2 linked regions of the Ovis aries genome follow. The protein of the gene in region 1 interacts with the protein of each later gene in a pairwise test. Links are inferred from orthologs where the notes say so. Each region holds a gene or a part of one and is shown on either strand. Other genes may lie near its edges.

Region 1 (4,144 bases):
TACTGTTTGTCTTTCTCTGACTTGTTTCACTTGGCATAATAGTCTCTAGGTCCATTCATATTATTGCAAATGGCAAGATTTCATTCTTTTTTTGTGACTTAGTAATATTCCATTATATCCCTCTTCACAACATTCTTTACTAAAATTTCCGTTGGGTTTGGAATCAGTTGGGTCTGATTTTGCACAGGAAATCTGCTTATCATCTGTGGGACATCAATAAATGTACTTTCATTTTTATGAGTCTCAGCTTCCTCATCTGCAAAATGGGGAAAAAATTCATGCCTCCTCACTGGGCTCTCAGGCACATGAAATGAGACCATGTCATGAAAGTTCTCAGCACACTGCCTTGCATACATTAGGGTTTCTAAAACTGGCAATTGAGTTTAGGAACATTATGAAGAAGGTATTTTGTTTACAGAAGCTTTTATTTCTAAATTTGTAGGAGAATAGGCTTTTAAAAAAATATGTGTTAAATTGAATTATGTTTGTTGTAAAGAAAATAACACAGAAAAGCCCAACTAAGTAAAAATAATCCAAAATACTAGCATCTAGAGGTGACCACTGAAAATATTTTGGTGAGTGCCCTCTAGAATTCTCTCTAGTCTAGAGAAACAGATGCATAATTTTCCATAAATGAAAGCAAATTCTACTTACATCCTAGATATGACTTTTTAAACATATAGTCAGTAACTATATACATATACAATCATAGAATTATTTTTAAACTTAAGTTTACTGTGGGGAAATTCCTAAAATGTACAGAAGTAGAGAAAAGAGTACAGTGAACTCACACGTATTGTCACCTAGCTACAATAACTAGCAATTTATGGCTAGTCTCGTCCATCTTAGCTCACCTTTTTAAAAATTGGAGAATAATTGCTTTAAGATGTTGTGCTTGTTTCTGCTGTACAACAATGTGAATCAACTGTAAGTTTACATATACACCCTCCCTCTTGAGACTCCCTGCCCCTCCCCCACCCTACCCCTCTAGGTCATCACAGAGCAGTGAACTGAGTTAATCCACTTTTCTAACACTAGATTATTTTAAAGAAAATTTAAAGCAAATCTATAATTTTAATTATTTAAAACAAACCTTTTAAACAAGACTGAAGACTTCCTTGGTCGTCCAATGGTTAAGAATCTGCCTGCCAAAGCAGGGGGCACAGGTTTCATCCCTGGTCCAGGAAGATTCCACGTGCTGCAGGGAAACTAAGCTCACGTGCCACAAGTACTGAGCCCTCACACCCTGGAACCCATGCTCCACAACAAGAGAGTGGCCCCGCTCACTGCAACTAGAGAAAGCCCACGTGCAGCAACAAAGACCCAAGGGAACAAAAAGTAAACAACAAAAAAAAATTAAAAAGCCTGAAATTTGTTTCTATATTATCATGACTTTGTAAATTTCTCTTCTATGAATGTACCCATTTATAGTTTTAGCTAGCTTTGTAAATAAACATTTGCTTGTTTCCTTTTTTCCCGATTATGCCAATTATGAGCAATGCCTTGGTGCATATTCTTTTGCTCTTAAAAAGTAAAGGCTTCCAAATACCCATGGGAATGATACTCAAAATTATTAACAACCAGTAAGACAAGGGTATGGAACAAGCAGAATAGTTGAGGGTTATGGAGTGTAACAGGGTGACAGAGGACCCCACTCCCATCCCCATACCAGGTAGTAACCACTCGCTGAATCCTGAGGAGGTCTGGGGGTGCCAGGAGAATTGTGGAGGTAACCAAGGAGGCAGGCATGACATTTGAGGGGCTTGAACAATGTATATGAACAGCCAGTATGGCAGTATTTTATATTTCAATAACTGTGCATACAAGCTAAATGTCACCCCTCTGCCTTCATATTCCTCCAAGAGGGAATCACTGTTAACAGCTTTTTGGGTATCTTTCCAGAAATATTCTATAATATTTAAAAAGTTTTTACACACTACACCATGCCTTGCCTTTTTTGGTGTATGTATATCTGGACTTTCCAGGTGGCTCAGTGGTAAAGAATCTGTCTGCCAGGCAGGAAACTCAAGTTTGATCCCTGGGTTAAGAAGATCCCCTGGAGAAGGAAATGGCAACCCACCCTAGTATTCTTGCCTGGGAAATCCCATGGACAGACCCGCTTGGGAAGTTACAAATCCAAGGGGTCACAAAACAGTTGGACACGACTTGGCAACTAAACAACAACAGGGTATCTAATAGATATTTCCATATCAGCATGGATAGATCTAATGCATACACAGTGGCTGGATGTGCATTTTATGGCTCCAAGACTATAGGGGTGTGTGTATGTTTTAGAATCTTGCTCCTCACTCTTTTCCTTTCCTATATCTCTTTCTGATGATTTTACCTGAGACTCATGGACTGAATGTGCCAATTGGTGACCCTGTAGTCACCAGTGTGCAGCTGAGCCTCACATTAATAATCAGAAGAAAAAAATTTTTATGAAACATTTTTCCAAAGAGCTTACCTTGGACTGCCCAAAGATTCGTTTTCCCCATGTAGTTTCTTTTCAATTCAAGAGTCTTAAAGTCACCATAAGGTTAGAGAAGCTCTTTTTCATCAATGCAAAATCAGAATTAATTTTAGGTCAAATCCGGAGGGTTCCAGGATGCGAGACTTTAGTGGTCATTCCAAGTGATTGAAATGCCAGAGCAGAAAATCCACAGTTTTCCAGGGAATCCAGTCAAAGTCTTTCACAAAGGCTGACCTGGCATGAGCATGAATTTCCCTTCTGAAGACAATCCAGTTTGAGTCTTCTAGTATTGCAATGTAAGTCAAACCAGAGGAGAAAGTCACTCCTTCACTCAGACTCTCCAGTGAGAGTTGGAGTTGTGAGATATTTCCTTAGCAGATGGTGGGGGAAGGTTTGTTTCTTTTATTGCTATGGAAACAGAACGGCAGCATCTCATTGGCTCAGGCCCTCAGCTCTTAAGAGAGAAGTCTGGAGAAGCAGCCATTAAGAAACTCTCCAAGATGTGAGACAAGGTATGTTTAAGACATACTACCGGAGGAAACAGAATTAAGTAGCACTCCTAGGCTTAGTAGGCTGTCGCAGGATCTGTGGTGGGTTTTAAATTCTTGTCATTTGCTCACAAAAACCTAAAACTCTAAAGCAGGCACTTTCTTCCTTGAATTTTAGGCTTTGAAATCTGTTAAAGTGCCAGGACCCCGGGGTAGGAGTCCTTTTCAATTACCAAGAAGCTCAGATTTTTTTTGCCGGAAAAGAAGACTGCTTTTACTCATTACAGAAAAAAAGAAGCTTGTTTATCAAAGACCAGTAACTTTTATTTTTATTCTACCGCACCTCACTGTATTGTACATGAAAGTGAAAGTGAAGTCGCTCAGTCGTGTCCGACTCTTTGCGCGACCCCATGGACTGTAGCCCACCAGATTCCTCTGTTCCTGGGATTTTCCAGGCAAGATACTGGAGTGGGTTGCCATTTCCTTCATATTTTATTTTAAAAAATTGCATGAAATAATACCCTTATTACATACTATTTTATCTTTCTTTTTAAAATAATTTTAAATTTTCATTTATGTTTAAAAATTATTTTAAAAATTTATTTTATATTGGAGCAGAGTTGATTAACAATGTTGTGTTAGTTTCAGGTGTACAGCAAAGTAATTCAGTTATACATATACATATGCCCATTCTTTTCCAAATTCTTTTTCTATTTATGTTACTACAGAATATTGAGCAGAGTTCCTTGTGCTATACAGTAGGTCCTTGTTGATTATCTATTTTAAATGCAGTAGTGTGTACATGTTAAGACCAGACTCCCAATCTGTTCCTTCTTTTACTATTTTTAACAATTCTTCTATTTAAAATGAAAGCTGATTATAAATCTACTTTATTGATTTCATGATTTGTCATAAGCCAGAGCTTTTAGAACATTGGTATAAGTTCATCCATTCATTCTACTCCATCAGATCAGTTCAGTTCAGTCACTCAGTTGTGTTCAACTCTGCGACCCCATGGACTACAGCACGCCAGGCTTCCCTGTCCATTACCAACTCCTGGAGCTTGCTCATATTCATGTCCATCGAGTCGGTGATGCCATCCAACCATCTTGTCCTCTGTTGTCTCCTTCTTCTCCTGCCTTCAATCTTTCCCAGCATCAGGGCCTTTTCCAATGAGTCCGTT
Region 2 (3,650 bases), on another chromosome or scaffold:
ACCCAGAGCTGCAAAAAAAAAAAAAAAAAAGATATATGATGGTTTGTAAGCCTCTGGAAAAATGCTCCGCTTCATTAGCCAGCAGAGACATGCGAATACAAGCCACAGTGGAATACTAGAGCACATCTGCTAGAATGATTTTGCAGGGACTTTCCTGGTGGTCCAGAGGGTAAGACTTCCTGCTTCCACTACAGGTAGCATGGGATCTGTCCCTGGTTGGGGAACTAGGATCCCACATTCTCTGTGGTGTGACCAGAAAAAAAAAGAAGAATGGTTTAAAAAAAAAACCTCGACAATATCAAGTGTTGGCAAGGAAGCAGAGCCTCTGGAGTGCACCGATCTTGCTGGTGAGAACACAAGAGGGTAAACCAGCTTTCCCCAAAGTCCAAGATGGTTTCCACTTTGGAACCAGTTTAGCAGTTTCTCAAGTTAAGCATATGTACTTCCATAAACTCAACAATTCCACTGCTAAGTATTTACTGAAGATAAGTGGAGAAGTATTTCCATGCAGAGACCTGTGTGAAATGAATTATGGCAGTTGTATTCGCCATACTCAGCCCAACCTGGAAACAAGCCAAGTGTCCTTCAGCAGATGAATGTATAAAACCCGCACGGTCCATCCATTTTCTGGAGTACTCCTCAGCAGTAACAAATACAACAACTTGGATGAATCTGAAAAGCACCCCTGGGGGCAGGTGTAGGAAGGAGAGGGAGGGACAGATGGAGAGAGTAGCGTGGAAACGTATGTAACACAGACAGCCAATGGGAGTTTGCTGTCTGACTCAGGGAACTCAGACCCAGGCTCTGTGACAACCTGGAGGGGCGGGGAGGGAGAGCGACTCAAGAGGGACGGGACATATGCATACCAATGGCTGATCCCTGTTGACATATGGCAGAAACCAACACAATATTGTAATTATCCTTCAATCAAAAATAAATTAAGAAAAAAATGAAATACATTACTCTGAGTGCAAGACGTCAGTCTCAAAAGTTGCGTGGAGTTTGACTCCATGTGTGTGGCGTTTTGGGAAAGGCATAACTACAGGGGCAGCAAACGGATGACTGGTTGCTGGGGGATGGGATGAGCAAAGAGCTGATCACAGAAGGGTGTGAAGGGGTTTTTGAGGGCAGGGAAAGCACCGAGCCCTAACCATTCAAGGCGCCAGGGTGTTCCCTGAACCATTCTACATCTCAATTGTAGTGTTTCCTGTGTACGTCTTTCAAAATTCGTAGAACTCCAAGAGAAATGAAAACATGTCCATAGACACATTTGTATATCAATGTTCCTACAAGCCTTATTAAGAGTCAGAGAGTGAAAACAACCCAACTGACTGCTTATCAACTGATAAATGAATAAACATAACATAGTATACCCAACAGTATACCCCTTCAGAAAAGAATCCACCAGCAGTGCAGAAGACGAGGGTTCGATCCCTGGGTTGGGAAGATCGCTGGAGAAGGAAATGGCAACCCCTTCCAGTATCCTTGCCTGGAGAATCCCATGGACAGGGAAACCTGGCGGGCTACAGTCCCTAGTGTCACTGAGAGTCAACCGAAGAGGCTGAGCACACAGGCAGTACACGCATATCACGAAATATTATTCTGCTATAAAAAGGGATGAAGCACTGATAATGATGTGTGTCAACCTCAAACATGCTGGAACTTCCCCGGTGGCTCAGCGGTAGAGTCTGCCAGTGCAGGAGACAGAGGTTCGATGCCTAGTCCGGGAAGATCCCACGTGCTTCAGCAACTAAGCTCCAAAGGCACCACAGCTACTGAGCCTGGGCACCAGAGCCTGCAAAGCCACAAGTCCTGAGCCCATGTGGCGCAACGACAGGAGCCTGTGCAACCTAGAGCCCCTGCTCCACAGCAAGAGAAGCCACCGTAATGAGAAGCCCAGGCACTGCAACCGGAGGGCAGCCCCCGCTTGCCACAGCCGGAGAAAGGCCACGCACCCACGAAGATTCAGCATAGCCAAAAATAAATAATAAATGAATAAAATTATTTTTTAAAAGTAGGCTAAGTGAAAAAAAAAGCCAGACACAAAAGACCAGCTATTGTACTATTCTACTTACACGAAATGTCCAGAATGGGCAAAGTCATAGAGTAAGAAAGCAGAATAACGGTGCCTAAGCCTTGGGGGTGGGGGGGTGGGGGTTGGGAGGTGCCGGCTAATGGGTACAGGGTTTCTTGTTGAAAGTGAAGTGAATGTGTGAATGCCTCAATCATGTCTGACTCTTTGCAACCCCATGGACTGTGGCCCGCCAGGCTCCTCTGCCCATGAAATTCTCGAGGCAGGAATACTGGAGTGGGTAGCCATTCGCTTCTTCAGGGGATCTTCCTGACCCGGGGATCGAACTCGGGTCTTCCACATCACAGGCGGATTCTTTACTATCTGAGCCACCAGGGAAGCTCTGTAAGTAATGGAAATGTTCTAAAACTGACTATAGTGATGGTTTGCACAACTCTGTGAATGTACTACAGCCAAAGGACACTCTCCAATGGGTGGATTTGGAAGCACACAAAGCGTATGGTATGAGAATTATTCTTTTAAGTGTTACCCAAAAACTCCTCATAGAACTCTATGTTGAAAACGGTGAATATAATATTTTGAAATTCTTCAAAAATATTTTGAAAAAATATCTTTGTTCAGAGCTGCGTCTCTGCACCTGGCAGACAGTTAGTAAGCAGCATTTCAGTAACCAAGTGGAGAAAATTAAGATCTTTCCTTCCGCCCTCTCTTCCTCCCTTCTTTTCACAAATATTTATTGAACGTGTTTCACTGTTTTAGGCTCAGCGAACACGGTCACGATCAACAGGAACCAGAAAATCTACCCTCATGGAGCCAGGTTCTAGTGAGGAAGACGGACACTAAATCAACCAATGGAAATATAATACAGTGGCTGGCAGGGAAGACAAGTGTGAGGAGAGTTCAAGGATGGAGAAGCTGTTTTAGCCAGAAACGTCTCCAAGAGCCAGCGTAGGGGCCGGGGAGGGAGCGAGGCACCCAGGGGATCGGGGAAGGGTGCCCCCTGGCGGAGGGACCGGCCATTGCAAAGCCTTGGCTCTGAACAGACGAAATGGGTCCCAGTCCCCACCGCGCCTCCCGCGTTCTTCTCCCCCTTTGTTGTCGGTGTCCCCCTCTCACCCTCGGCCCCACACTCACCCAGCACTCTCCCTAGTGCCCCCCCCTCCCAGCCCGGTCCGGCAGGTACCTGACTTGGGGTAGGTGACGATGAAGATGTCATCGTCCTGTACTTCGGCGTTCTCTACCAGGCTGATGCTCTCAGGCGAGTAGATGCCCACGGGGAAGAGGATGCCTTTGTACCTGAAGTATTCGCCGGACAAATTCTGGCTGTAGGAAGGTAGGGGAGACACCGTGAGGACCGGAGACGAGGCACGGACAGAGGTCACCCCTGAGAGAGCCTTTTTAAAATTTTAATTAATTAATTTATTATTTTTTGCCATGCTGCCTCATGCAGGATCTCAGTTCCTCGACCAGCGATAGAACCCACGCCTCCCAGTGGAAACTCGGAGTCTTAACCCCTGGACTGCCAGGGAAGACCCAAGGGGCCTGCGTTTGAGCGTCCTTCGTGGTCCCAGGAGCCTGCCCAGGGGTCCAGCTTTACAGCAGAAGCTTCCGGAACTGA

The links. The genes of interacting proteins can lie anywhere in the genome.
Region 2: the proteins of FLACC1 (region 1) and SULT2B1 interact in binary tests that used the Homo sapiens proteins (3 or more experiments, as listed by UniProt). The two-hybrid records come from large-scale screens. The link is inferred for Ovis aries from reciprocal best matches to the Homo sapiens genes FLACC1 and SULT2B1.

Annotation. Positions count from the first base shown.
Region 1 is NC_056055.1:203,676,328-203,680,471, forward strand, and holds the start of FLACC1 (flagellum-associated coiled-coil domain-containing protein 1), read right to left. Parts: upstream 2,834-4,144; 5' UTR 1-2,833.
Region 2 is NC_056067.1:54,985,757-54,989,406, reverse strand, and holds part of SULT2B1 (sulfotransferase 2B1), read right to left. Parts: intron 3,356-3,650; coding exon 3,216-3,355; intron 1-3,215. UniProt on the Homo sapiens protein: Sulfotransferase that utilizes 3'-phospho-5'-adenylyl sulfate (PAPS) as sulfonate donor to catalyze the sulfate conjugation. Responsible for the sulfation of cholesterol.